Linked DNA regions of Tamandua tetradactyla. The protein of the gene in region 3 interacts with the protein of the main gene of each other region in a pairwise test. Links are inferred from orthologs where the notes say so. Each region holds a gene or a part of one and is shown on either strand. Other genes may lie near its edges.

What was found.
Region 1: the proteins of UBE2L6 (region 3) and RNF144B interact in binary tests that used the Homo sapiens proteins (3 or more experiments, as listed by UniProt). The link is inferred for Tamandua tetradactyla from reciprocal best matches to the Homo sapiens genes UBE2L6 and RNF144B.
Region 2: the proteins of UBE2L6 (region 3) and RNF144A interact in a two-hybrid assay, tested with the Homo sapiens proteins (2 studies listed by BioGRID and IntAct). The link is inferred for Tamandua tetradactyla from reciprocal best matches to the Homo sapiens genes UBE2L6 and RNF144A.
Region 4: the proteins of UBE2L6 (region 3) and RNF125 interact in a two-hybrid assay, tested with the Homo sapiens proteins (3 studies listed by BioGRID and IntAct). The link is inferred for Tamandua tetradactyla from reciprocal best matches to the Homo sapiens genes UBE2L6 and RNF125.

What each region holds. Positions count from the first base shown.
Region 1 is NC_135351.1:21,508,535-21,515,635, reverse strand, and holds the start of RNF144B (E3 ubiquitin-protein ligase RNF144B), read right to left. Parts: upstream 3,001-7,101; 5' UTR 2,944-3,000; coding exon 2,941-2,943; intron 2,200-2,940; coding exon 2,122-2,199; intron 1-2,121.
Region 2 is NC_135329.1:52,296,959-52,303,879, reverse strand, and holds the start of RNF144A (E3 ubiquitin-protein ligase RNF144A), read right to left. Parts: upstream 3,013-6,921; 5' UTR 2,984-3,012; intron 2,800-2,983; exon of another isoform or gene 2,648-2,799; intron 2,638-2,647; exon of another isoform or gene 2,515-2,637; intron 1-2,514. UniProt on the Homo sapiens protein: E3 ubiquitin-protein ligase which accepts ubiquitin from E2 ubiquitin-conjugating enzymes UBE2L3 and UBE2L6 in the form of a thioester and then directly transfers the ubiquitin to targeted substrates.
Region 3 is NC_135335.1:20,005,898-20,013,516, reverse strand, and holds the start of UBE2L6 (ubiquitin/ISG15-conjugating enzyme E2 L6), read right to left. Parts: upstream 3,015-7,619; 5' UTR 2,918-3,014; coding exon 2,891-2,917; intron 1-2,890. UniProt on the Homo sapiens protein: Catalyzes the covalent attachment of ubiquitin or ISG15 to other proteins. Functions in the E6/E6-AP-induced ubiquitination of p53/TP53. Promotes ubiquitination and subsequent proteasomal degradation of FLT3.
Region 4 is NC_135344.1:51,166,212-51,173,855, reverse strand, and holds the start of RNF125 (E3 ubiquitin-protein ligase RNF125), read left to right. Parts: upstream 1-4,623; 5' UTR 4,624-4,837; coding exon 4,838-5,001; intron 5,002-7,644. UniProt on the Homo sapiens protein: E3 ubiquitin-protein ligase that mediates ubiquitination and subsequent proteasomal degradation of target proteins, such as RIGI, MAVS/IPS1, IFIH1/MDA5, JAK1 and p53/TP53.

The DNA.
Region 1 (7,101 bases), on a different chromosome or scaffold from region 3:
GGAACCCATACCAAACTCTGATCTGTTCTACAACTAATTGTTGTGTCATGCTTTGAAATTTCTGACTCTTTTGTATATATTTATTTTCCACAGAAAAGAAAAAAGTCAACTGTGATGATAAAAAATATTCATTCCTTCTAGCCTCCAGTGTTCTAGAGCAGCTAGAAGGAAAAATCTGAGATGATGGAATGGTAGCCCATGCCAAACTCTGGGATCTGTCCTTAACTACTTGTTGAAGAGTGCTCTGAAAACTATTGCTTTTTTATTTCTTTGTTTTGTATATATGTTATATTATACAATTAAAAAGTTTTAAAAAATCACAGAAGGTCAACCCTAATTTTACTGCTAATTATTTACTGGTATCTAGTGCTTTATTAAACCCAAAGAGGCACATTTGTGATATGCAACCCCACACAGCTTATGTAAAGACAAAATGGGGATGTTATGACCCCTCTGGTAAGCATTAGTTAATAAAGGCAAATAGTTCAGTCATTTGAGACATCAACATAGCCAACTGGCAATGGGGTGAGGAAGAGAGCTCATTTATTTCCCTGGGTAAGGGTTAGCATAAATCAAGACAGATGACGGAAACCTCCGTGCCCTGCTCCAAGACCTTTCTATTGGGATCAGGGACCCTTGCTAAGTATCTCTCTTCCTTTCTTATGACCTAATTCATACATGCAGGTTAAAGCTCCCCTCCTCAATGGTTATGATGAAAATCAATACAGACTTTTCATCTTCTTTTGGTAGAAGCGATCCATGAGTTGAAAACTGAGACAAAACTTTTCAGAGTGATCACTGTTATTACATGGCATTACTTACATTCTGAAAAAAAACTTCCAATCTTTTCAACCTACAATTTTTGCACGTACTTCCACAGGACCTGGACAACAGATGGAACCCATACAATCATATACACCTGCGGCTACCAAAACTGGAGTGGGAAGAGGAAGCAGAAATCAAACAACTTGAGTGGCTGCCTGCCCAGCTTATGCTGATTATCTCATTTCAATGGTTCAGATTGCTAATGATGTTTCTTTGAAATCACATCAGCTTATGCCTCTTTCCAGCAAGCATGATGGCTAATAAATACCCACAAATGAACAGGATGAAGGGATCAATGTCATACCCTGAATTATACCACACTGCATTTTTTAGATATGAGAATGTTCATAGGACATTATATGGAACAAACTATATGAAATAACTAAAATCTGGAAGCAGTCCAAATCCCATCAGCATTAGAGTGACTAAATAAATATCTGGTTGATTTACCAAAGGTATACTATACAGCAATGAAATTTTTAAAACTACTGCCTTACACAATATCATAGATGAATCTCACAGTTATAATGGGCACAATAAACAGCCAGAAAAATAAGGCATAGTATATGTAATTCAATTTATAAAAAATTCAAAACAAGGTTAATCTAACATATGGTGCCAAAACTTAGGATAAGGATTAACTTTAGGAAAGATGGAGTAAAACTACACAGTATTTTATGCTGCATTAAAAAAAATCAAGTGGAAGATGAAATTACAATGGAGTAAACATTATTAGCTCATTGAAACAAGGATTGAATAAAAGGCATCAAATATAATATACTTGTATTTTGTAGAGTAAGTAAATCTTTAGCAAATCACTCCTTACTCATTGCAAAGTATTTTTTATAGAGGTAGGGTCATATCATGCCCTCCTCTGAGTGCTTTCACAAACATCATCTCATTGTATACTCACAACCCTTCAGCTTAGGTTTTATCTTTCACATTTTATAAATGATGGAACTGAACACTGATAGATTAATTAACTTTACAAAAATCACACAAGCAATTACAGGGACAACATATAGTAGAACTCAATGGACCAAATCAAGTGAATTTCTACTAGATGACACTCACCTCCCCAATAAATTTATAGGTGAAATCAAGCTCCCACTTGTTCTCCTATCAAGTTCTTTTATAGAACGAGGACCAAAATAGAAGGCTGATGCAAAACGTTTAATTCTATTTTTAAATGTCTACTTAGCACAAGAGGCCAGGTGTTCTGCCTGAACAAATCAGACATTATTCTTATATTAGAGGAACCCCAATCTTGATCAAGAAGAGAAACATAAAACATACATTGGGAAAAGACTCCAACAACTCTGTGTACTTTGAATTCTCAGCATTGGCCTCTGCAAGAAGGACGGGGCAAGTTTCCTGTAAGAGAGAAGAGTTAACAGTATGACTCAAAAGTCTATCTCAGTACAAGATCCTGTTTTGACCTTGTTCATCTGCATGCTGAGAATATAAAGTTGTCTGGATCCATGCCAGAGGGGATGAAACCATCTGCTAAAGCCACACATGCAGAAGCTCTACAAAGGCATGTTAGGATCTCCTAACTATGCAACGAGAGCCAATTCACACCTACCCATTACCCAACTGAATTTCTCTGCAGTCTTAAGGTCTCATCTCAGGTAGATGCATTCATTGACCCAGTTAAATGAGGAATGATATGAAATTTGTTCTTAATTTACAGCTGACTAATGGAAGAGAAAGAACTGCATACCAGAAAAAACAACTAATATATACTTTAGATGCAAACATTGTCTAACAGATGACAAGAGATATTTATCAAAAGTTGCAGCCATTCATTTTTTTCCTTCATACCCCTCCTTCCCAGTCTCCTATATCTTTTTTCCTATGGTAGTCAATGAAAACATCAGACTCACTATTCTCCCCTCTCCCCTTCCTCTGATACCATCTACTACCCCTGCATCTTTCCATGCCCACGTCTATCATCCACCCACACATCTCCATGTGAATAAGGAGCTCAAGGATCAAATGTTAGACAAACTCATAGGGAATTAGTTTTCAAGAGGCTAATAGATTCAAGGTTTTGACATGGAAGAGTTCAGACTCCAATTTTAAGGATAAGGAAAACTTCAGGGTCACCATTACCATTTCAGCTATGCTGTAGATCAAATAATCGTTTATACCTTGGCTAGAAACCTAACCTTGCAAGTATAGTATTGTTTCCATAATAAAATGAGTTCCAAGTTCTGAACAACTGACTTGTAAACAAACTTTTGGAACACTGAACATTCCTAAGTTTGGGCCACCTACAAAAACTTTATTCCCAAGTTTCTCTCTCTTTACAGCTACAGAAGAAAATACAGAGTATAAAATGTATTTAACTGGGTCTTGAGATTTTTCTCTCTTTACTTAGAAACCGCTTCAATGAGAAAGCAGTTGGTGATGACCACCTGTTCCTGAGAATCCTAGGCGAACTTACTCTCCCTACTTTGCCCAATGAGAGTCACTGGATCCACTTCTGAATAAGTAGTGACTATAGAGGAGAGGACCCCCAAAATTATGATGAAGAAAGGTTTGGAGAGGACTTTAATCACTTTATATTGACAAACAAACACAGTGGAGCTGTGGTTCCTGTAGCCCAAGGCAGAGGTTGAGCTTTAAAGCAGAAACCATTACCCTATCTTCTATGAATGTTTGGTGTGTGTGTGTGAAAGCAAGGAGCCCTAAATAATGAGAAGGAGGAGACAGTGATGATATGTTTCAAAAGGGGGAAATCATTGATGTCACACTATATTGCCAGAGTCTGCTCTTACCTTGTTTTCTTTTCAAAGAACTGTAGTCATGGGTTAAACCTGGAAGGGAACTCTTAAACTTCTCCATGTAGCAATCAGAGTGTCCAGAGTGGGCTGTGGTCAAAAGAGACAGTGAGAAAAGACAATAGTCAGATCTGCCTACCAGTAAAGGAAGTTGCCTTCAAATCCCTTGGCAGCCATGTTTGCAGGATGTAATGAACCCTGCTTCTTTGAAGCTGATTGGACCCAGGATAGTTGCCTGTCTCAAATGGAGCCAATCAGATTCTCTCTCCCAGGAATTTGGAATTTGGATTTAGGGATAGCTAATCTCTGTGCTGCATTGAAGCTATGCAGCAGCCATGTTCCATTCATCTATATGAGAAACAGAGAAAGCCACAGTGAGAACAATAAAAAGAAAAGGTGAGATAAGAGTTAGAGAAAGAGAATAACAATTTTCCAGTTCCCAGTTCCATTTCCTTCTGGGAACCAACTGCATTCCTATCTTTGGGTTCCTCAAGACACTAGCATCTTGTCCATATAATAACATTTTCCCTTTTCTTGTTTAGGCTACTTCAAACTTATTTCAGTGATTTGAAACCAGAAGAACTTTGATTAACCCCCATCAAAATGGATGGATAAAGTAAATCAGCATCATGCTATGAAAAGAACATAGATTTCTGAATCCACTAAATCTGGGCTTAACTCAATATAAACTACCTAGTCCAAGATAAATTTCCTAATATCTCCGAGCCTTAATTTCCTCATTTTTAAAGTCTAATAAAATATAAATGTTTAATGATGATAAGATAAAAGCTGTCACATATAGTTGTGAAAGCCGGAGGGTTATATACAAAATCCAGAAGTTATGAACATATAAAAGAGATATCTTTAATTCTTGACTTTGCAAAATAACTCAAGCCATTACTTTACATTATAAGTTCCCCTAGTTTGTGTAAAGTATCTTTTGATTCTTAAATATTTTATTCAGATATATCATCTACCACAGGTTATTTCTGTATTTATGGGGAAATTCTAAGGGAAATCCCAGTGACAACTCTAGCCACCAGATCACTTCTTTATCAATTCACCCCTCTTCCCCCATCAATTTACAAAAGAACAATGGCTCCGGTCCTTGTGGACATCAGAGACGCCTTTGAGAATATGATCACTCTGTGAGCTCTCACTGCAGAAGATATGTCCTTCTGAATTTTCATCCATTCAAAAGACATTTATAGAAGTACAAAAGTTTGCACATTTTTCAGTGTGGATGGTCGTGCTGAACATCATCCATGAATCCTCAATAATTGAACAGTCTGGTAAAGTTAACTTTTTACTTGGCAATACCTTAAATTCGCTATCCCAGGTCCAACACACCATCACCCACAGACAAGAGAGAACCTACCCTCGCCCCGACGCCAGCCAGGCTAATACTCTTGCTGAAATGCCACTTGTCCGGGAGGGGATGTGAATATTCCCAAAGTAGTCTTTGCATAATCTGCCACAGACCTTACTCTCTACTATATTTTAAGCACAGGTTTACTTGTACATATAAATACCAAACTGTGAATGTGGGCAGAAAATGTGCCTTCTCTTTCTAGGATTATGCTTCAAACAGGAAGTATTCAATAAATGATAACTAAAAAACATACAATATTTTGTAAATACCAGCTGTGCTGCTGGGGGGGGATATCTAAAGTTGCCTTTTTTCCCTTTCAACCTCGCTCAGCTACAAGAGAAACATCTTTCTTTATTCGCCTCCCCAGTCCTTTGCTGCTAAGCTCTTCATACTCTCCAGGAAAAGTATTATTTGGCGGTAGGAAGGAAAGTATTTCTTCAGAAGTGAAGCCATACAGGCAGCCTTTATGGATAGCATCGTCATTTTAATGCTTTCTGAATTCTCAGAATCTGTAGACATCCACAACATTAGCATTTAAGTCCCCCTCCCTAGTACTGTTCCCTTTCCTAGCAGAGCTACAGAAATAGAATGTAAGTGCCACAGTGATATCATAAACCACAATTCCTGAAACCACGTAGTTACTTGGAGGAGATGGCACATCAGTTAGGACAGTGGTTCTCAACACTGGTCATATGTTGGAATTACCTAGGATGTTTTTTAGAAATTACACTTGCCTGAGTCCTATGTCAAACTAATTAAATCAGAATCTCCGGGGGTGGGCCCAGGAAGCACTATTTTTACTAGATCCCCCAAATGATTTTGAGGTGCACCCAAGTTTCATTAAGTAAGAATTGGGTTTGGCTACATATAACAGGAAAAAGTAGCAATCTCTTAAGAAAGACAGGTTTTTTTCTCTTTCACATTAAACATATTTTGGGAAAAGTCTGCAGGTAATAGAGCATGCACTGAAGTTCCATGAAGTAATTCAGGACCCGAGCATCCTCTATCTTTCTGCGCTACCAGCTTTGTGTCAGATTTTTATTTTCAAAATCACTTCATGTTCCAAGATGGCTGCTGGAACTCCAGCCATCATAACAGAAACCAGAAGAAGGAGAAAAGCAGAAAGGAGCAAAGAAGGTGCATCCTCTCTTTTTCAATAGTCTTTCTGTAAGTTCCCATAAAATTTCTACTTAAATCTTATTGGCTGGAACTTAATTGTGTAGCCACACTTGGCTGCAAAAGAGGTTAGGAAATAGGCCTCAACTGGACTAACATTTTGCTAAAGAAGAAGTTAAAATTAGAATCTGGGAAGGCAATGAGTAGTCTCGGCCACAGGTGAAAAAAATCAGTAACATGGCTGTGGCTCACTGTAGAGAGTGAAGCTTGCTCTCTTTTGCTAGAATCAACCAAGTTTTTATGACCTTAGAAGACAAGTGTATGACATGAAACGTGAAGTACTAAAACAACAGCATTACCTTCTGCCATGGTCGAATAAGCTGAAGACACAGAAACACGTTCACTGGCAGGGTCTGTTATCTATAAGGTCACAATGAGCTCAGTGAGCTTCAAAGGTTGGGCTTAGGATCAAAGAATATGTGTTCCCTCTACAATACCCATCCTCCTTCTGGGCAACATATGCGTCAAACCAGGAGGTCTTTTTAAACATAACTCTAAGCTAAAAACAGACACAGAGAACCTCCTACCTAACACTGAGTAGCAGCACTACAAAGAGGTAGTCACTCTTGGCAAAATAGATCTTCCAATACTCTTACTAATATTTGACCCTGAAGCCATTCTTAGATCTAGACTTCATGTGTGATCAAGCAACTAAAAGTAAGACGCTTTTCAATAATGGTAGAACCTTTTTTGCACAGAAAATAGATATCCCAAACTTCTTACTTTGGTGTCCCACTACCTCCTTTATGCAACTTGCCCTAAAACTCCCCTTGCTCCCTCCATCTTCTTTTAGACACTCAGTGACTTCACACCCCCCAACCTCTCAGGTTCTCCACCATAGTATTCCCAACTGCAAGGCAGCTCACCTCCATACTGCCTGTAATGGCCTGTGTCTCAGTTCTTCCTAGAAGCAGTGAACTAACGCCTCCCAGAAATGATGGC
Region 2 (6,921 bases), on a different chromosome or scaffold from region 3:
TGTAAGGACTCCATGAGGTTCCATGATTCTCAACTGATGAGACAAGATTCTCCTTTTCCACCCAGAAAATGACTCCAAAGACAGAAAAGGTAAGGCAGCAGTAGAACCAAATTAAGAACCACAGGGACAAAGCTACGTAGCTCCCTGACACTGTCTGGTTGTGTGCTACCCTCACCACCCTCAATCTCAGCAGCTTTAACTGAACCTGTAAGTTCTTTTCAAAGTCCAAAGTCACATTAAATCCACACATACACGCATGATACTATATGCTAATAGAGATGTGAATGCAGAGTTTGCAAATAGTCAAACTGAGGGGTCGTAGAATATATTTATAAGATATGCAAATCTTAAAATGCTCTCCAAGTATTCAAAATCCAGATCCACTCATTGCTTTGTAGGGGCCGTATCATTTCATTCACCTACTGCAGCTTTGCCCACTCCCCCAATACCTCCCCCACACTACTGCTTTGCCCACCCTTCCCAGCATTCAAGTCTACCTTCATTAGTCCTTTTCTAGAAGCTCTTAAAAGATCTCTTTAAAAGACCTCAGAATCAGGACCTCATAAAAGAACAAACAACAAAATTCAAATTGTGCTGGATCTGGAAAATTTGCATTCCGCTAAAATTAGATTATTTGCATGCTATGGTCTCATGACGCCCTCTATTCATGTGTGACCCTTTGGTAAGTGATAAGGGTGGAAGCCCAGGTCTGGGTGGGGGTCTGAGTACAAAGCCCATGCTCCACCCACTGCATTCTAAGTTCTCCCTCCTCCACCAAAGGATGAATTCCTCTAAAGCAAGGCTCAGATCACTCATTCTGTTCCTCTAAAGCCATCAGTGTCTCCCAATGCCACTAGATCAAGTCTAAACTCTTCACCTGGAATTCAAAGATTTCTTGATTTATCCCCATCTCACTTCTCAAAGTATGTTTCCTTATCACTCATTAAAAAAAAATAGTAAAAAAAAATTAAAATTAAAAAAGGCACTAGAAAACAGAAAAACACAAGCTCCTCAATCTTAGTACTGTGGAAGAGAATACAACCAAGCGATTATCTGGTCTTCTTCAAACCACCAGCCTCGAATCCAATGTGAAAGTCCAGAGATGCGTGCCTGGTGTTTTCCTTCCTTCTTCCTAGCCTTGGCTCTTGCCCCTCTGCCAAGATGGGTCCTTCCTGCCAGATGACAGATCTGACCCATCTTCAAGCTTTGACTCAACTACCACCTCCTTCCCAAAGCCTTCCCTGATCTGCCTACCTTCCCACCTTTCCCTGACTCTCCCTCTGGAACGCCCACTGCTCTGCGTCTACGCCACTTACTTTCTGCTTTGAATTTTACTTATCATCTGCCTTGCTGAACACTCATTTTGAGGGCAGCCCCTAACATGATTTGCCTATCCAAGTTCTCGGTCCAACCCAGACAGGCTATCCTCCCACTAATCAGCTTTCCACAACTGTTAAATGCAAGATGTGGGGTCTCTAGTTTAGGTATCAGCTCCCCTCCTGTGACAGCAAAGAGCCTACTGGGATACCTCCCTGGGGCCTTATCTAACTCTTCTCTGCAATCCAGCCTTTGCCCTGGCACAAGGCAAGCACCGAATATTAGTCAACTGGACATTTTATAGTATTCATTGCATAACAAGGAAGAAAGACACAGAGAGAAAGAGGCAGAGACAGAGACAGAGGAGAAAACTTTTGGCATAACTGTCCTGAGATTGGCCTATGAAGATCATTAAGGAAAAATGAATAAAATACTCCCACCTTCTTCCCACCCCATTACCACTGAGCCCCCACCCCCACCCCCCGCTTGCATAAGCAACCGAATAACTGGGAACTAGGGATGGTGTAGCAGTTCTAGGAAGCAAGTACTAGACGGTTGGGTGGGGGTAAAACTATCATCCCAGCCCTCTCCAAGATGTGCAGGGAACTTCCCCTATCAGCCCACTACTCTCTCCGCACTGCCGAGGGCGCGACTGGGCAGCGCACCCATCCAGAAGGAAAGGGTGGGAGGGAAGCTGGCGGCTGTGGTCATTTTGGGCGCTGGAGGGGGGATGTTTAAACCGGGAGGGCACGCAGCACCCCTAGCCGACTTCTGTCGGACTAGACCTTCCCCCATTTCCTCCTCCTTCCCAGACCCGCTCACCCTCGTCCACGACAAAAGCTCTGACCCTGAGTCTCGAGCTCTGGGGCCTGCGGGCGGGGCCCTCCAACAAAGAGAGCGCCCCGGCCCGCGAACTCGCCAACCCGACCCCGGCGCGCGAGCGCCAAGACACGCATCGCTGCAAACTGACACGCAGACCAAGAGTGGAAAAAGGGCGGTGGCGTGGTTCCGTGGTTTTGAAAGTGGTCACGGCGCTAGGGGAGGGAATGCAATCCCAAACCGGCCGCCGAAGAGTCAGGGTGCGAGTGCTCCGCACGAAGACAGCGGCTCCTCACCCCAAGAACCCTCCATCCCGCCTCCAGCACCCGCCACGACCCGAGCGCCCAAGCCAGCGCCTCCCGCCACGCAGCGGATTACCGAGATGGGCACTCGGGAAGACCGGGACTGGGCGAGCCACGGAGGCCGGATCGGTGAAAACCACAGCTCTCCTTCTGGCTGGGTCCGGCTCCTGTGATGCCGACACAAAGGGGACGCGCGCGCGTCATCCTACCTGGTCTCGGCGCGGCCGGCGCTCCTCCGGGGCGTGGGGGCGGCTGCCTCCTCTGGTCTGTGCCCGCCTGGGCTCTTGGCGGCGGCCGAGCTGCTGCTCCTTCGCCGCGGCGGCAGCGCGGGACTCCGACGGCTCTGGCTCGGGTGCCCGCGGCCCGGCACTGGAACGCGCGCTACCGCCGCCTCCACGCGCGCCCCGCGCAGCCCGCCCTGGGCCACACCAGGCAGCGGCTCTTTATTTCATCCCCGCCCTCCACCCGTTGTTTTTTTTTTTTTTTTGCAAAGCCCGCGGAGGAGGGGGGCAGAATCTGCGGCGCGAGGGGTGGGGGCCACTAACCCGCACACAAAAACGCTGGGAAACGTTGGAAGCTTCGCCCCAGCAGCTTGCCTTTGAAGAGGACCGAGCCCCCGCCCTGAACGGACACAGCGCCCTCTGGTGCCCGCAGGGTCTTGGCACCGGCTCAGCTAACTTTCAGCTCTGGCCTCCTGGCCCCTTTGGAAAAACTAATAATCATCCAAATAATGATAAGGGCGGCCGATGGTTGCGGAAATGAAAATGCGATTCCTATTTTAGTGACCTCCGAAAGAGGAACGTGTGATTTCAACTGTCTGGGGTGAATATGTCACCTAGCTAGAAGAGAAATGAATGATCCAACCAGACATTTAACAAACCTTCCTAGGCCAAGTGCTAGAATGAGCCACTGACCAGGCAAATATGAATAAACCGTTTGGCTTCTCAGAGCCTCAGTTTCGAGCTCTGTTTGATGAGGATCTTGCTGGTAAAGGCTGAGCTCAGCTTAGTTCAACTTCTTCGCCCAACTTAACATGAAACATCTTCTCATCCCACCACCAAGTTTGTTTGACAAATGGAGAAGATGGGAAACTGTCTGATGCCACCAGGTTTATGGGTATCTGAGAATCACACATAACAATTCATTTCTTATTCTTAATTAAAGTGTTTAGTTTGCTGAAAATGGAATTCCTTTAAGATTTACTTTTGCCACACCCTCTAGTAGCTAGGAGTTATACAAATTCTAGGTCATATGTCTGTCACACATGCATATTGAACAGAAGTTATTTGTCTGAATGAAATAATACCTCCTCCAATTCAGAGATTCTCTTTTCTCCAGAATTATAGGGAAAACCCGCAGTAAAATCATCCTTCCTGGGCATAGCAAAACGCTGCCTGGTGTGAAGTCTACCTCTGCTTCTTACTAGCCTGGTTTCTGTAAGTGAGTTATTTTTATCTCTTTGTGCCTCAATTTTCTTACCTGGAAAATTAAAGTAATCATACTATGTATATAATGGAGGTCTTATGTGAGATTGTATGAATCATAGAACACAGGGCACAGATCACCATATTTGACAATCATAAGTGGCAATCCATTTCCCCCAAACAATTACACCAAAATACTTAATTATTTTAAAACACTACATAATTTGTCTACCTCTGCTACCTACATATCTATTTTAAAAATCATATCTATCTCATCTGCACTGAAAAGTTTTTCTGGTAAATATTTTTGCTCTTCAAAAACAGGAGCAAGTACTTGTCTTCTGATGGCTGGGATCCAGTTAGATTCTTTGCAGAAATGTCATTATTCATGAAAAAATACACAATAGGAAGAAAGCTAACAATGACCCTTTGTTATCCTGCCTCTCAATACAAGATTAAAGTAGCTCTGCATAAAAGCCTGGGCTTCATAGAAAATACATTCGCATCTCCTGTATTCCAGTTGGCAATATAGGGAAGTACTAGTAAGAGCACTTCTTATGAATGAGTGATTAAATTAGTGAATGGATAGAGTACTTACTGTAAACGCCCAGAGAATGGAAATTATACCACAATACTGTGTCCCATGAAATTAGTATTGAGATGCAGACGTATCTATGGAAAACCAGGACACAGAAATCAAGTCGGGGGGGCTGGGGAGGAGCATATAGCTAAGTGGAAGCAGACTAAGGTGCTGAGCCATTTCCTTACCTAATCGCATGATTGAGACTTGTGTTTATGCAGCAAAGCGTGTGATTTAAATCCCATGTTTTGTTTGTCTTTGTTGCCGTAACTGCTGTTGGGGAGATGGGCAGAGAGTATATCATCATTGAAAGTCCAGTTTGCAGCAGACCACACCATGCATCTCATATGCAATTTTCTCTATGAAGTCTTAACAATCCATGACCCCACCATCCAAACCTCTGAACATGTATAATAGTACGTTTGTATCTATATTGATTTGTGCATCTGTCGCACGACATTTAATGTTCTGGGTGTTTGCTCTTTGATGATTACAATCTAATGTTCTGTAAAGCAATGATGAAGTAATTTTTCTATGTACCTGCTCCCTTCCATTGGGTCTTGGGCATAGTAAGTGTTCAATAAATAGTGAATAGAATCATCTACTCTGGGCTGTATGTCTGTGCAACTGCCCTGGTTCTCTTCACTAAGAAGCTGTTTGGTTCTCTCAATGACATGTTATACCCATCACTGATAGGTTTCCAGTCCAGCATCCTGCCCTAGCCACAGCTGCACCGAAACACTCTTACCAAGAGGTTTATCATGTCAAGCCTATTTTAAAAGATATCCATTGTTCCTCAGTGTTTATCCCTAAAGGCAGTGTGACTCATCCTATACTCACTGAACAAGAGTCTTTTTGATTGTCTACAAGGGGGAAGAGTCTGTGCTAGACAGTAAACAAGCCAGAGAATTCGTACCATCATAAATGATCCAAAGTCTGGAGATGTGGAAATACGTTTTGAAGTTTCCCCTTAGAATGCAATATTGAAAGAAACACAGACTCACACTCAGGGCTTAAAATAAAATATTTTGGACAATGGAGTTTATATTAATTTGTGATCAATTCTGTGCATACAGAAAATTCCCATTTCTTTCACTTATAAAATCGGTTCAAATTAAAATCCCTATTTCAAGAGAGTGGCAGGAAATTGAAGGTCAGTTGTGGTTGACGCTCTCTCTCTAGGGATATGGCAGATTCTGGGAGATTATTTGGTGATCTGAATATGAAGTGGCATTCCTCAATCCATCTCTGTGTCTATGGATAATCTCACTGTCCAAGCCATGTGGTCTTTTGAAAGCAGGCTGCATTCAGCTTCTCTTCCAGACTCCAGGAAGTGGAGTCCTCTCCAGGCACAGGACTATTTTTTTCCAAACTCAGGATCAAAGGTACACAGGTGGACTCAGCAGCCTGTGAGATTGTCCCCCTTTCCCAGGGCAACACCAAGGAAGAGAGGGAAGTCCCTGCTAGTCTCAAGGTGTTATTGGGAAACCATCCCTTGCTCACAATCTTGCCTCCCTCCCCTCAAAGTCCAGCTCTCCTCCTTCCCCAACCTAGGTATCCCCAATAGCCTCTTCAGTGCAGCCACGGAAGAGAGGATGAAGCAATGTTATTTTCAGATAGCTTCTTTCAGCTCTGCAAATACCCCTGGAGCTGAAACTAGGTTCTAGTTATTTTCCTGGAGTATGTGGAGAAAAAATTCAAAAAAAGCAAACATAATACTATCACAAGAAAATACATGGTCCACATAACAAAACTATAAAAATAGTTTAAGGAAGAAAACCAAAACTTAAAGAAAGTACAAGTGAAGAAGAATGTGCATCCACTTATTAAAAAACAGCATGTAGAAAGTGCCAGAGTGTCATTATACTTCAGAGACTATGTGCCATACAGAAATGCAAATGCCACAAAAGTCGGTGAAATAAATGAGAAGGTTAGTATAGTTACTAAAGAAGTAAAAATATTTTTGCCTGGCATCCACCTGGAAAGTAGAGGTATTGTTTGTTTTATCCACTACTCTAACATGCACAGGTCAGGCAAGTTGTAGGTACTTACTAAGTATTTGTTGAATGAAATAAATGAATTTTGGCTTCTAGAACTGTCTACAAGTACTCCTATATGGCTCTCATGAAAATGCCATAGATTCTAAGTAGACATTTAAAAAATGAAAGGGATGAGAGAGTGAGAGAAAGAGTGAGGAAGTGTAGTATATTCTTTTCTTTTCACATATGGAAGCTTCAAGGCTTAAACAAAGCCATTTACCAGTTTCAAGATCACTGCTAGCCAGTGGCAGAAATAGTGCTATTACTCAAGGTTTTTGGCTTATTCAAGCTTCTTTACACTTTTTATTACATTACTTTTCTATAATAATCAATAGACTCTTGCCCTTAGGGCTTTACAAAATTTTACAGAAGGGCCTTCTCAATTCTGGAGGAATGATTAAATTGCACTTAGCGTTAGGTGTTCATAATTGTGGGAAGAC
Region 3 (7,619 bases):
TCCCTGGCCCCAGCACAACATGACACAGTGGACAGCAGAAGCCAGCAAAAGTAGGCCCCTGTTTTGAGTATGTGTCAGGCCTGGCGCTAAGTACTTGGTGAGAATTCTTTGATTTCAGCCTCACCACAGCTCTGTAAGTATGAGGTGCAGGGAAGATGTACATAACTTCTCTCAGATATTACAACGTGGGATAAAGCTCTCTCAGGAACCCTTTCTCCTAAAACCAAGGTACTTCACCTGTACCTCTTGCCCTCTTCCTAGAAAATCACTAGGTCCCAACTCCCCCACCACCCACCCTTCCATTAGCATCTGCTGAGTGCCCCACAGGACATGAGTGGATGGTGCTTATGGCAGATTTATGCAGCAAAAACTCCACCTGAATACACCTGAGGAAGGAAAATGACTCAGGCAGACCACAGCAGAGGAGAACTCTACATGCCAAGCTGAGGAACATGGGGGCAAGGAGTGAATTTGCCCCCGAAATGTGACCCAATCATCTGGATATCCGTGAATTCTCTCAACAATCATTTACTGAGCATCCTCTACTGACACTCGTCTAAGACAGAGCCCAGTCCTCAAGAAGTTCCATGGAAGAATGCAGGAAACATGAATGTGATTACATGGTAACATGAAATGGGGAAGGAGAGATGAGGAAAGCTGGGAGGTATCACAGAGGCTGCACGTTGTGAGCTGGGTCCTGCAGATTAAATAGGAGTTTCATGCAGAGAAGAGGAAGGGTACCAGAGCAAAGGGACCAGTTAGGACAAATGTGTACACTGCACCCCATGGAAGGGTAATAGTTACTACAGGAAAAGAGTCCCATAGGTATATAAGTTTGGGAAACACTGGGCTAAACCAGTTTCTTTACTGCAGGGTTTCCCAGAGCCTTTATTGTGGGTTATGATGTGAGCCCTTCACATGCAATACCTCTCAAACATATTTAACCAAGGAACCTTTTTGGGGTCCATTCCGTGCAACTACAGAGACTTAAAAAAAAAAAGATGAAAATTAATCAAAAGCAGGTCTTATTTCTTTGGTATACCTAGTTGGTATAAACCAGCAGTTTTGTCCCCTGCCCTCCAGGGGCCATCTGCCAATGTCTGGACATATTTTTGATTGTTATAATGGGGGGGGGGTGCTACTGGCACCCTGTGTGCATAACGTCCTACAATACACAGGCCAGTCTACTCCGGTGAAAAATTATTTGGTCCAAATGTCAATACTGATGGGACTGAGACTGGCAGAGAGCTCCCAAACGCAGCCCAAAGTTGGGGAAGAGTCCTTTAACCCCGTGATCCGTCTGAATTTTCTCTGTCCCCCTCCCTTCTATCTTTTAGCCCATCCTCTGTCTCTCGTCATACCAACCAACTGCTCCTGGTGCCTTCTGCATAAACATCATTTATCTTTCACCCCAAACTAGAAGGAGAATTTGCTACTACAAGTTCTCATTGAGTGTCTTGAAGCTCAAGTTAAAAAAGAAAAGCTCTGGAATGGACATTTTCCTGACTTTAACTGGGAACATTCAGGAATTGATGTGTTATGAGTTCTGCCAAATTTTCCCAGAAAATGTTGCAACCAAGCTAGGACACACAATTTTTTCCTGAAGCCAGTTCAGAAAATCACCTGATTTACAGAAAGAGAAAATGAAAGTACAGAAGTCACTCAAAGAGCCGGCAGCTCAACTCCCAGCCCCATCACTTCCTTACCGGGTGATAGTGAACAAGCAACTTACTCTCTCTGAGCCTCATTTCCCCATCTGCAAAATGGGGTGCTATTGCTTATCCCACCTGCTGGCCGTGAGAATGAGAAGAAATAACCGACCTGAACTGCCAGTGTAACAAACACTGGTTCCCATCTCTTTAGCACTCGGCTGCAAGAATTCTCCAGCCAACCTCCAGCCTACCTTGGGAGTTCAGTTCTTCCAGGCTGAGCCTGCTCTCAGAGCCCCATTCAGACAGCATCTTCTCCAAGGTTCCCTCCTTTACCCCCTCAAGCCTGTCCCTCTACTCTAAGGACTAGAGGACACTTCTGAGAGACACAAAGGCTGTGGGATGGGCAGCCTTACTTCACCAGGATTGCTTTTCCTCCCCCATCTATCTACAGTCCAGTTCCCCACTCGAGCTGGCCTTCTCCAGCTCGTGCCCCGGCCCCCTATCCTTCCAGAACACATGGCAAATTGTGTACCTGATTAGAATGAAAGCTCAGCCAGAGCAAAGATTTGTGCCAGCTCCTTCACCTCTGCCTCCCATCCTCCGATGAGATGACCCATAAGAGGCATTCAACAACATTGGTGGAACGAATGAATGAATGCACACCACCATCTCCAGGAGACCTCCGAGGTCACCTTGGCATCTTTTCCTCCCGAGAAGGCTCGGGGAATGCGGCCCGAAACTCGGAGTCAACATCTTACGTTTCCTTGGACTTTAATAAGAAAGGTAACAACCTAGGGGCGGCCACAGGCTGTTACTCGAAGGCGAGGACCTTGTCCCCTTTTATTCTCTGCTCATAACCCTCTTTTTCCGCCAGAAGAGTGCATGACACCAGGAAGTCGCCAAGGAACCCTGGCTGCAATTGTTCCCTCAAGTTTCTGGCAGGGGAAGTGAAACTGAAAGCAGCATCGGGATAGCCTGCAGTGGGCTCGTTCGCACTCTCAGCAAAGCTCGGCGGGGGGGAGAGCGACAGCCCCGCTCCGCATGGCCCACCCCCCACCCCCACCTCTAGCCCCCTCTCGCAGACGCACTCCTCCACTGGGGAGGGAGGCGGGGATAGCAGATTCAGCCAACCCTGGTATCCAGACAAAAATGCACCGGGAGAGCCGGGGTAGGGAGAGAGAGAGCGCGGAGGGAACCGGGCGGCCGCGGGAAAAGGGGGTCATCCCGTTGGGCGTTACCTTCGCCACCCGCTTGCTCGCTGTCATCTCAGGACCGAGTGTGAGGCTCCGGCGGAGTCCAGCTGCACAGTGCACCGGCGGGCGGTCTGGAAGCGCGCGGCCGGGGTGGGGCGAACTCCTCCTCCCCGAGCCCCGCCCACGCTTCGCTCCACCCCCCCCTCCACCCCCGCCCCGCGCACCCACGCGGGGGCGGTGCGCGGACTCCGCGGAGCTGCGGGGAGGCTGCCGAGGGGGCGCACCCGGCCCCGGCGCGGCGGGCTCGGGTCCCGGGAACTCCCGCTCTTTGTCCGGCGGGCCTGGGAGCGCGCGGCGGGACCTTGTGTCCGGGTGTCGCTGGGGGTGCGGGGGTGGGGCGGCTCCGTGCACCGGGCAGCGGGGGCGCGGGGCTGGGGTCCGCCCAGCCGGGTGCGGGTCCCAGCTCCTCCGCCGGGGCCGGCGCCGGGAGCGCCTCTGCATCGACCTCTCAACCCCTACCCCCAATACACTCTCGTCCTGAGCAAAGACAAGGGTGGTCGCTGCGCAGGCCAGCTCCGCGGCAGGTCTCCGGACGGCCCCTGCCCATCAAAAGTCGCCGCCCCTGGCGAATGCCCGAACCCCCATGGACAAGTTGTGTCCCCTCTCCGAGTCCAGTGCCTTGTCCCTAAAAGTAGATGGGGGGCCGCGTAGACTAGGTGCCCTCCAAGGGCCCTTCCCCCAGCAGCCTTGGACTCTCACTTGCTGACCAGTAGCTGGCGGAGAAACTGCAAGGACGCTGCTCCCAGACACCATAAGGGGGCGCTGTTTGGCTCAGTTTTCTCTCGCTTTGGGGGTTGGGCCGTCCATTTATTTGGTCCTTTACTAGGCTTCATGTATATCGTAAGTGCCAATACATGTCGGTTTGGAAAACAGGTGGGTGGAGGGAACCCCGAGACAAACTTCAGGAGTTTCCCCCCAGAGGGAAGGCTGCCTCCCTTCTTTTCTTGCTGGTGCCTCCACAACTTCAGCCTACTATGCACCCCCATACTCAGCTAGGAGTCTCCTTCCCTTTATGCAAGCGCAGAGACCCCTTTCCCCAACCTGAAGCCGAGGCGTTCTGGAATAGTAAGCCCTGAGCACCTAATAGCGTCCGGGGGGAAGAATTTCCTAGAAGTGGTGACACGCAGAGATTTCTTGGGAGGAAATGAGCCCTGCTTCCTCACCCTCTCCCCACTTCTGCCCAGCTGTCCATCAAAGGGAGTCTGGTTGAATCAATTATGGTACAGCCACACAGAGGAATATTAGGCAGCCGTAAACAAGAATGAGGAGGCTGGTTATGTACTGCTAGAGAATGTCCTTAAAGATATATTTTAAGGGATGAAAACAAAGTATAGCAGGGTGTGAAAATTATATTACCATTTGTGTAAATAAAGGAAAGATAATCTTTGCGTGTGTATGCCTAGATGTGTGCTTCTGTGTGTATTTCCGGAAAGATACAAGGTACAGGCGCAGTGAAGGTTTCTTGGGATGGCAACCAGGGGACTTGCATAGGAATGCAAGGAAACTTTTTTACAATAAACCTGATTTCCTTTTAAATTTTTGAACAATGTGAATGGACTACCCTTTAGAAAATGAAAAATGTTTAAATTGAAAAATAAATATTCTTTTTAAAACTGAAACTTGTTGACATTCGAGTTTTTATTGCTAGCTTCTGTTTTAAAATGTGGCTTCTTTTTGCATTGTGACTGCGTGATTGCAAAAACCTTGTGTCTGATGCTCCTTTTATCTAGGGTATGGACAGATGAGTAAAAGATATGAACAAGAAAAGAAACAAAAACTAGGAGGAACAAAGGTTAAATTGAGTAGTTTGAAATACTAGTGCTTAATGAGAGGGAGGGATAAAGGGTATGGTATGTATAAGTGTTTCTTTTTTTGCTTTTATTTCTTTTGCTGGAGAGATACAAATGTTCAGAAAAATGATCATGGTAATGAATACACAACTTTGTGATGCTATTGCTAGCCATTGATTGTACACCACAGAATGTTTTATGTTGTTTACAATAAAAATATTAATAAAAAATGTGTTATGGTAATATGCAAAAAAAAAAAAAATGTGACTCTTGGCAATACAAAGCCCAGGGTCCCCATTGACTGCCCTTTTATACCAGGTATGCACGCCCTCTTTGCCGCAGTCCTCACCACTCCCTATTCATCCCCACCTGGCCAGCTTCACCCTCTCTTTTAGCTGCCTGGCTCCTGGAAGGAATGCCTGCTCTGAAGTTTCTCGCCCTTGCTAACTTCTTATCTCTCAAGAACTCTCCTCTCCTTTCTCCCCCAGGATCAGGATTTTTTGTTTTCCGGGATGATTCTGGCTTCGCAGATGTAGGCGTGAAGCTGTCCTAGGAGGTATGACAGCTCCTCTTCCCCACTCAGGATGTTCCAAGGACTTCACAGGGTGAGGTTGGGGAGAGAATGTTGGCATTGTCTATCCCTAGATGAGGCGGGAACTTCCTTTCAGAGGGGGCTGTCTGGGTCAGATAAAGGCTCAATGACAGAGCTAGAGTAAGTCTCAGAGACTACCTGAAAAACAGGCAGGAAATATATTAATACATGAAAAAAAAAACCACGTTTCATGCACCATAGACAGTAGACATCTTACCTGTGTGTTTATGTAACTAAACTTGAAGGGTACTGAGGTGACTGATAGAGTGGTGATCAGTTGGGGAGGAAAATGATTTTGTCAGTTTACAGCACACCCTTTCAGGCTATCCAGGCTATTTCATCTTCTTTGAGCTTTTGTACAACTTGGTGAGAAATAAAATCTTGTAGGCCCAACACGGAGTCACCCATGCTAAGCCTCACGTTAGCGAAACAGTAAACTTAAGCTACTTACTATTTCCTGTAAACGCTGGGCTTGCCCAGGAAACCAAATTTAAATACGGCAGATAAGTTATCGCCAGCTAATCGGTTCCTAGCAGCCACCTGCTCCTCACTTCATAAAAACACACCCTCCACCCCACCTAAAATGGAAACTTAATGCCAGCCAATCCAAATATTTCCTCCCTTGCTTCCTCGTCTGCCCAGTAAGAGTTTCTCCCTTCCATCTCCTGGGGCCAGCTGGGGGTGGGGAGTTTCCTTTTACTTTCTGAATGGGGTGCTGCTTGATTCACGAATAGCTCAAAAAGCTGTGGGATCCTAAACTGCATGAAAAGTTTTCCTTTTATCATCAGTAAATTTTAGCAACTGATAACAATGCAAAATAATTCTTGTAGACATGCAAATTCTTTTCTCTCCAGTACAGGTTTAACCGACTTCCTCTCTGTTTTAGTTGTTAAAGCTGCTGGCATGTGATATACCAGAAACAGGACAGCTTTTAAAAAGGGAATTTATTAAGTTGCAAGTTTACAGTTCTGATTCCTTGAAAATGCCCAAACTAAAGCATCTAAGGAAAGATGCCTTGACTCAAGAAAGGTCCAGAACACCTGTCAGCTGGGAAGGCACATGACAATGTCTGCTAGCTTTCTCTTCTTATTTCATAAGGCTTCCCTGGGGGTGTTTTCCTACTTCATTTCCAAAGATCTCTGGCTATGTGGGCTCTGTTGGCTCTCAAGCTTTTTCTAAAATGTTTCCCTCTTAAAGAGCTCCAGTAAACAGCCCCACCTTGAATGGGTGGAGACTTAGCTCCACAGAAGCCATCTAATCAAAAGTTACACCCATAATTGGGTGGGTCACACCTTCATGGGAATAATAAAAAAGATCCCACACAGCAATACCGAATGAGGATTAAAGAACATGGCTTTTCTGGGGCACAGGACAATTCCAAACCGGCACATTCCACTCTTTGGACCCCCAAAAAGCATGTTCTTCCCAAATGCAAAATACATTCATTCCATCACAATAGCACAAAGCCTTAAACCATTTCAGTAACAATAAACAAATGCAATATACAGAAACGGTACAAAATCTCATCAAAGTCAGCTATAGACCTGGTCTGTCTTAAGGCAAAACTCTCCTCTGTCTGTGGACCTGTAAAACTCAGAACAAGTTACCTGCTGCCAATGTACAAAGAAGGGGTATTCATAGGATACATATTTCCTTTTCCATAAGGAGAAATTGGAAGGAACACAGGGGTCACCATACCCAAACAGTTCTGAAACCTACAGGGCAAACTCCATTAGATTTCAAAGTCTGAGAGTCATTTATCCTCAGAACTTTAGAAAGCAGGAGCCCCACTCTTTCCAAGGGTCTGCTCAGCAGCTCTACCCTCTCCAAACGCTGGTGTGGGGTTTGCAGTCTTGAAGGACACTGGGGAGAGCACCTTTTTCTCAGCTCTGCCCTTTCCGAGCATTGAGGCAACAACCAGGCTCTCTGCCATCTCTGGGGCACACGTTCAACCCTTCCAGGATAATGGGGTGGCAGCCAGGCTCTCCCCAGTCCCCCAGGAATGTGCTCCACCCTCTCCAAGGTCTGGGAGACAACTCTTCCAGAGCATCCAGCGGGGAGACTCACCCTCTGCCTTTGGGGCAAACTCACCCTCTCCATGTGTATAGATGGGTCCACTCTCCTTGCCCGACATTTCTTGTCTTCAAACCTTAGCTTCCATGGTTCTGCCTCTGAGGCTACTTTTCCTTCAATTTGTCCCTTTTCTGTCCCTTTTAATCCAGACTGGCAGTGGTTCCATTTATGCAGATTCTGCAACACTTTTGTTGATTTTCTATGTCGTATGAAGAGAATGTGACTATCAGACAATAGGATTTTCCAGAGATCCTTCCTG
Region 4 (7,644 bases), on a different chromosome or scaffold from region 3:
TTGGCTTTCAATAAAAGGGGACTTATTTCATTAGTTCTTCAGAGGAAAGGCAGCTAACTTTCAACTGAGGTTCTTTCTTACTTGGGAAGGCACAGGACAATCTCTGCTGGCCTTCTCTCCAGGCCTCTGGGTTCCAACAACTTTCACCCAGTGATTTCTTTCTGCATCTCCAAACACCTGGGCTGAACTGTGAGTGCTGAGATGAGGTATGCTGAGCTGCTTGGGCTGTGCTACCTTGAGTCTCTCATTTAAGCACCAGCCAATTAAATCAAACATCATTCATTGCAGCAGGCACACCTCCTAGCCGACTGCAGACGTAATCAGCAACAGAGGAGGTTCATACGCCATTGGCTCATGTACACATCAGTAGATCCAGGCACCTTCAGCTGGCCAAGTTGACAACTGAATCTAACTACCACAAAGGTTTTCAAGTATCCTTTATACTAATCTATGTTTCTGATGCCCAATGTTTCTAAAAGTCTCAAACAGAATCCTGGTGCTGTCACTTTCTTGCTATGTGACCTTTGCTAAGTTAATGTCTGAGCCTATAAAATAAGAATAATATCTACCTCATGAAATTTTGATTGAGGTATTATACATATATAAATATGTGTATCACCTCCTATCTTACAGGTATTTTAGCATCCATTACCTAGTAAGGCAAATACAGCATGCTATGGAAAGAAGCAAAGAGAATGTCTGAGATAGATGTGGTCTAGAAAGGCTTCCAAATGAAGACTTTGTATTGGAGAAAGTTGAGTTGGGAGTGGTGGGGTGGAAGGTAGGAGTGACCAGGCAGAGAAAAAAGCATGTGTAAAAAGTTCTCCCTGATGCTGAAGAGAATTCAGTACACTCAAGAAATTGAAATAAGTACAGAAAAATTTGGAGCACAGAAATAAGGGGGAGAGTGATAGCAGATGAAGCCAAAAACGGTTGTTTGAGAGACGGTAATGTCAGGCAGTCCTAGGGGATATGTACTAATGAATTTAAGTCACTCAGAGTATTCTCACTCTCTTACTAGGGATTGGCTTAGAGGTCATCATGTGGCCCAGTGTGGACCAAGGAGATGCAAGGGAAAGTCTGCAGAGGAAGGCTTTGAGGACACATTTTTTTCTCATATAAAAGGAGAGAGAGTTACAAAGAGGAAATCATATCACTTCCTTTCTGTTTTTGGAGACTGTTGTGTGTAGATGTGACTGTTGGAGATGTTGCCATCTTTCTGCCATCTCAGAGAGAAACTGAGATATGGGGAATGCAAGGGGCTGAGTCCTTGAGGACATCATTGAGCTGCTGAGCAACTCTGGAACTACTTATGCTGGACTCTTTTATCAAATAAGCAATAAATTTGATCAAGACACTTTTAGTTGAATTTCCATTACCTGCCACCAAAAATATCTTGATTATAGTTGTTGAAAGAGCCATACCATGCAGGACTTTGTAGATCATGTTAAGGATTTAGAAGTTAATCCAACAGTTTGTGGAGAGCCATTAAATGGTTTTAAGCGTGAGATGACACAAGGTATATGCTTTTCTAAAGGTCATTGTGGTTACATTGTGGATAATAGTTTGGAAGGATGGCAATAGTATGTGCTCTAGTTTGCTAGCTGCTGGAATGCAAAATACCAGAAACGGAATGGCTTTTAAAAGGAGAATTTAATAAATTGCTAGTTTACAGTTCTAAAGCCGAGAAAATGTCCCAATTAAACATGTCTATAGAAATCTCCAATCTAAGGCATCAAGGGAAAGATACCTTGGTTCAAGGAGGCCAATGAAGTTCACAGTTTCTTTCTCAAGTGGAAGGGTACATGGTGAACACAGTCACAGTTTCTCTCTCATCTGGAAATGCACATGGTGAACACAGTCAGGGTTCCTCTCTCACCTGGAAGGGCACATGGCGAACATGGCATCATCTGCTAGCTTCTTCTCCTGGCTTCCTGTTTCATGAAGCACCCCGTGAAGCATTTTCCTTCTTCATCTCCAAAGGTCGCTGGCTGGTGGACTCTGTTTCTCGTGACTGTGTCATTCTGCTCTGCTCTCTCTGAATCTCTTTCATTCTCCAAAATGTTTCCTCTTTTATACGACTCCAGAAACTTATCAAGACCCACCCAAATGGGTGGAGATACATCTCCACCTAATCCAGTTTAACAGCCACTCTTGATTAAATCACATCTCCAGGGAGATGATCTCATTACAGTTTCAAACACACAGTATTGAATAGTGATTATTCTGTCTTTATGAAATGGGATTTAGATTAAAACATGGCTTTTCTAGGGGACATACATCCTCCCAAACCAGCACAGAAGATGTAGGCAGAGTAGTTAGAAACTACAGCAATAGGTCATAGAAGAGAATGTAATGACTTAAAATAAGTGATGAGTGAGGAAATGGAGAAGAATGAATCAATCCAAGAGCTACTGAGAGATATACCTCTATTGGAGGTAGAATTGTGGTTGTGATTGATTTAATGTGAATGAGGGAGAGTGAGAAATCAAGAATGACTTCCAGTTTCTAGACTGAACTACCAGGTAAGGTAGCTCACTTTACTAAGAGAGGGATTAATTACTGGAGAAGCAGCAGATGGGAGGCTAAGATAATGAGTTCATTATTGGACAAGTTGAGCTGAATATGTTCATGATGTAACCACATGATATGTCAAGTAAGCAGTAGGGTATTTGAGTGGCATGGGGTGGAGAAAAAGATTTGAATGTCTTTGGAACCTAGATAGTAGAAGGATATATGAGAGTTTTGAGATTCTTAGGGAGTGGGTGAGGAATGAGAAGGTAAAGTGTCCTAGGACAGAATTCTAGTAACTCTAGCACTTAGCCTTTCTATGGAGAAGGAGATGCCAGTAGAAGAGACTACACAAGAGTAGCCAGAAAGAAAGAAGAAAAGCCAGAGTATTTCAAGAAGGAGGGAGTGCTCAATAATGATAAACAGAGTTGAGAGGTCGAGCAAGAAAATGACTGATAAGAGTCTATTGGCTTTTGCCACCTGAAGGTCACCAGTGACACTGGTGATGAAGTAGTTTTTGGACAGATGGAAGCAGAATGGTTGGTTCAGAAACCATATTGGATTAGAAGAGAAGTGAACACTTAAGAAATTGACACAAAGAAGTTAGAAACCCTGATCAAGAAATTTAGTCTTGAAGACCATATAGTACAGGAGCTGAGGGACATGTGGGATCAAGGAGGGGGGTGGGGGTGTTTTTTTTCTAAAGGTAGGAATGACTCCCTTTGCTTCAGTCCTCTATCCAATTCATCAGCAAGGCTTTCTAGGTCTTTCTCCTAATTACATCCCAAACTTGTCCACCTCTCACTTTCTACCTACCTGGTTTAAGCCATTGTCTTTTCTCACTTGAACTAATTCCATGGCTTCCTAACTAATTTCTCTGCCTCCATTCTTGCTTTGTTTCTTTCCTTTTTCCATATAGCAGCAGAGTAAATCAAATAAAAACGCCTGGTATAAAATTCAAACTCTTGTCCTGGCTTATAAGACCGCACAGGCCCCTGAGTACCCATTTCATCTTATCCCATGTACCTCTCAGACCCTCCTATGCTCCAGTTTCACATCTTTCTGGTCTCGGTTCCTTCCTCACTCACTGTTCCCAGTGCTTCACCAGCTTTTCTTCTAAATCTTCGAATGGCTGACTCCTTTTCATTATTCATAACTCTGCTCAAATGTCACCTCATCCATAAAGTCTCTTCTGACCTTCTTATCCTTTTTCCTATCTCTAGTCCCTTCTTTGTAGCTGTCATTCGGAGTACTCTTGTTCATTTATTTATTTGCTGGTTACTAATATCCCATCGATAAAATAAGATCTGACTGGGAGAAACGGGGTGAAGTGTATATGAGATTATCATATATTCTATCTATGTATTATCACAGACGTATGCATTTATGTATCTGTGTGTTTTATATTATTTCTTACAATTGTATGCGAATCCATAATTCTCTCACGGTAAAAAGTTTCATTTTGTTTTTTAAAGGAAGTTCTGGAAGACTTGGGAATGTGTTTGCTTGTTCAGAACTGTGCCTCCATTTCCAGGACAGAGTCCCATATGCAGCCACACTAAATGGGTCTTTGCTAAAGAGTGAATGAATGAATTATATGCTCGGTCATGTTTCAGAGGATGGGAAGAAAAAAAGCGTATTAACAATAGCACGAAATGCTGAGCCAAGGATACTGGGGATGAGGAGAATTCAGCACTAGAATCCTATTTCTAGAGCTGCAATACGAGTCCGGGTTTTCAGAACTCTTTTCACGACATCATTTAATCTCTCTATGAATAGGATATTGCTTAGATGACCTGAGTAGTGATTAGCACAGTTGGAGGAGATGCTCAATCTGTCCTAAGTCATTTTGTAGCTTATTAAGATTACACAATGCAGGACCGATGGATGGGTGCTCTCTGGCTCCCATGAAGGCATGACCTATCCCGCACTTTCCTGAAGTGTGACAGTGGGAAAGGATGTGTGATAGCCTGGAAGATTCACTACAGGCCCTGGTCCTCTTCTTTGCCGCTGAGGTTTCAGGTTTCAATCCTCCCAGGACAGCGAGACTTTGCAGCATGTGGGCTGTGCCGCTGCAGCCTCCGCCTCCGCGCTTTAACCCTGGCAGCTCGCGACAGATAATCCCAGACCTGCGGCCGCGCAAGGTACTCGCTCTAGACCCAGGTTGGGCGCAGCTGCAGAGGCTGGTTCTGGGCTGCGCTAGCCGCGGGCGCTGGGAGGCGGCGATCGCAGCTGGGCCGGGACTTCCTTCCTCCACCGCAGAACAATAAAACCACCCGGCTGCAGCACTGAGCTCTTGGCAGCCGTCTGGGCGGGAGGCGTAGCGATGGGCTCTGTGCTGAGCAGCGACAGCGGCAAATCTGCGCCTGCCTCGGCCACCCTGCGGGCCCAGGAGCGCAGAGAGGACCCCGAGGTGCCCGTCACGTCCTTCGACTGCTCAGTGTGCCTCGAGGTGTTGCACCAGCCTGTCCGGACTCGCTGCGGCCACGTGTAAGTGCCATAGGAGCTCGGTTTGCGCACCCACCCCATAGGGAAGGTGCCTAGGGAGGATGATGCTGGGGAGCGGAGGACTTAGAGGTTTAACAGCAACCAGTGCACCGGAGTAATCGGTTTCCCTCTGCTGGAGACAGAAGCTTCAGGGACAAGCCTAGACCTGTCGGGTAGGAGGCACGGAAAAAAAATACCCAGTTCGAAAGAGACAGTATTGTGAAAGGAGGAAATAGGAACTAGCGGGCCCTGCAGTCTCTTCAGAGCTGCCTTGTCCCGAATGCCAGGTTCGAAGCCCCAGGTATGGGGATCCCAGGTTGAGGTCCCGCCGACAGCCAGGTCTCGCCAGCTGGGGTGGGTGCTCTTGGCTGGAAGACCAGCGCCCGCACTGGCACCGAAAGAGAAGGGGTGCCCAGCTACAGGGCAGGGGTTCCCGCAAAGCACAGTTGCTCAGCAGAACTGGGTTGAACAGGCTGTGCTTCCTTCTTCCGCGAGAACCCCGACGGGTTTTGTTTTGCTGGCGCTGTGCACGTGTTCCAGGACGCCCATAGAGGCTAGTCTCTTGGACAAACAAGGATCTGGGCAAATTGTCTTTCTACCCGCAGCCCCACCTCCCTTTTCCAACATAGACACCCAGACCCCTCCAACATCAAGTCAAACTGAAACGCCCAAATGACTTTCTGTATTGGTTAGAGTTTAACTGAACGTGTCAGGATGGGGTTTGGGGCTCGAATGTAAGCGCCAGGACTGTGAATGGAGCCGTTTAAAACCCAACAACAGACAGGAGATTGAAGGTTATCTGCTTTAGACACCCTCCCACCCCCAAATGGATGGAACATGTAGAATAAAATCTTCCTTAAACATTACGTACTGTTTAAAACTCAATTTTAGTGCAAAACCGAGGTAGTTTTTAGGAAGAGTTTAGAAACAAAGCCCCTGTATAAAATCGGTACACCCTGGATGTGTGCTTGACTAGCTAGTAGCCGGAGTTGGATTTGTGAATTCATGTTTTCGTTTACTTGCTAGATTTCCCCTCCCCAACTCCCCGGGGGTGAATGGGTATGTGTGTGAGAGTGTCGGGGGATTTAAAGCAGGAGCAAAAATCCACCTAATGTCTTCTTTGGACAGCCGGCTTTCTATAGTGTTAAGGGGCAGGGCAATACCGCAATGGCTTGCAAATAAGTGCAAGTGCATAGAACGTTTTAAGAGGATTTAGGTGGGGGTGGTCCTTGACGTCGAAAGCCTAGTACTGGACAAAAGCACCACTCAAGGGCCTATCCTAGCCAGCCAAGGAGAAAGAAAAAATGCAGCCCATACAGTTTACAATGTCCTAGGTATTATTTTGTGGCTGTATTTTCAGCGGCTGTTGTTGCAGCTTTTTTTAGTCTCAAGGCTGATCAAACTCATTTCTGATTACTGATGTTGATTCCCAGCTGTCCCAAACACAGTTCACTGACATCATATCCAAAGGTCAATACGGAAAAACAAGATGTTGCCTAACAGTATAAAATACAATCATATTTTATTTTTTAATAACTAACCTTACATTTAAATCCCTGTTTGCATTAAAGATTTTAAAATTGTGTGGAGGATGCTCAGTGGGCATCAAGTGTTAAGGCTTCCTTTTTACAAAATGGAATGAGCAGCTTTGCTCTTGTAATTATCTGATTGGAAATTGTTTTCCCCTGGTTTGGATTTTGAAAGCTATAACCTACTGTTGACAGTATTTCTTGTCCTTTGCTTCTGCTAAAGGATAATAATAATAATAATATCAGTTTGCAAAGTGTTGCATCTTGTGTTTAGTCTTTTTTTTTTTTTTTTTTTTTTTTTGTTAGAGTGACTAGGAAACCAGCAACTGGAAAAATAGTCATAAACAGCATTACAAAGACTGGACAAATTGCCTTCCCTCACTTTACTGTTCTTTGTTTTGACAAATCTATGTCCATTGTTCTGGCTGTGGGCAGAATTTCCATATTCTTCCTTTTGGCAAACTCACTTGGTCCCTTCCACTTTATAAATGTTAACCAGAGTTCCTCCTACACTGGAGATGGTGAGTGCTGTTAATACCATTTGCGCTTCTAAATGACTTACTAAATTTCACTGAACTGGAAAATGAATGCAAACAAGACCTCTTTTATTATCTGATATTGAAGCTAGATTTCCTAACTTGTTGAAGTAGGTTATTTATGCTAATTTCTGTCTATAAACCTATTTGTCCAACAAATATGGTAACAATACCTTGGACAAGTATCTATATAGCACTTTATAAATTGTATTGTGATGCAGTTGAGTGAACTTTAGAGATGCAGAAGTTTATTTCTGCCACCAACCAGTGTGTGAACACTAAATTGCTTAATCTCTTTAGGTCTTGGTTTCCTCATTTTGTAAAATGGGATTAGTAATGGAATTTTTGAGTATTTAAAATGTAACAATAGCTTATAAGAAAGGTTCAAAACTTATTAGTTTCTGTTTCTGTGAAGTCATTCCACAAGCAATAATCCCATGAACAGACATTATTTACTATCCCTTCTTTTCTTTTGGAAGACAACCGGACGACAAAGGGTAGATTGGTGTCATTTCCAAGATTTTGTAGCTAGTCCCAGACAGCCTTACTTTTAGGTTAGAACTTTTTCTTCTGGTAGACTT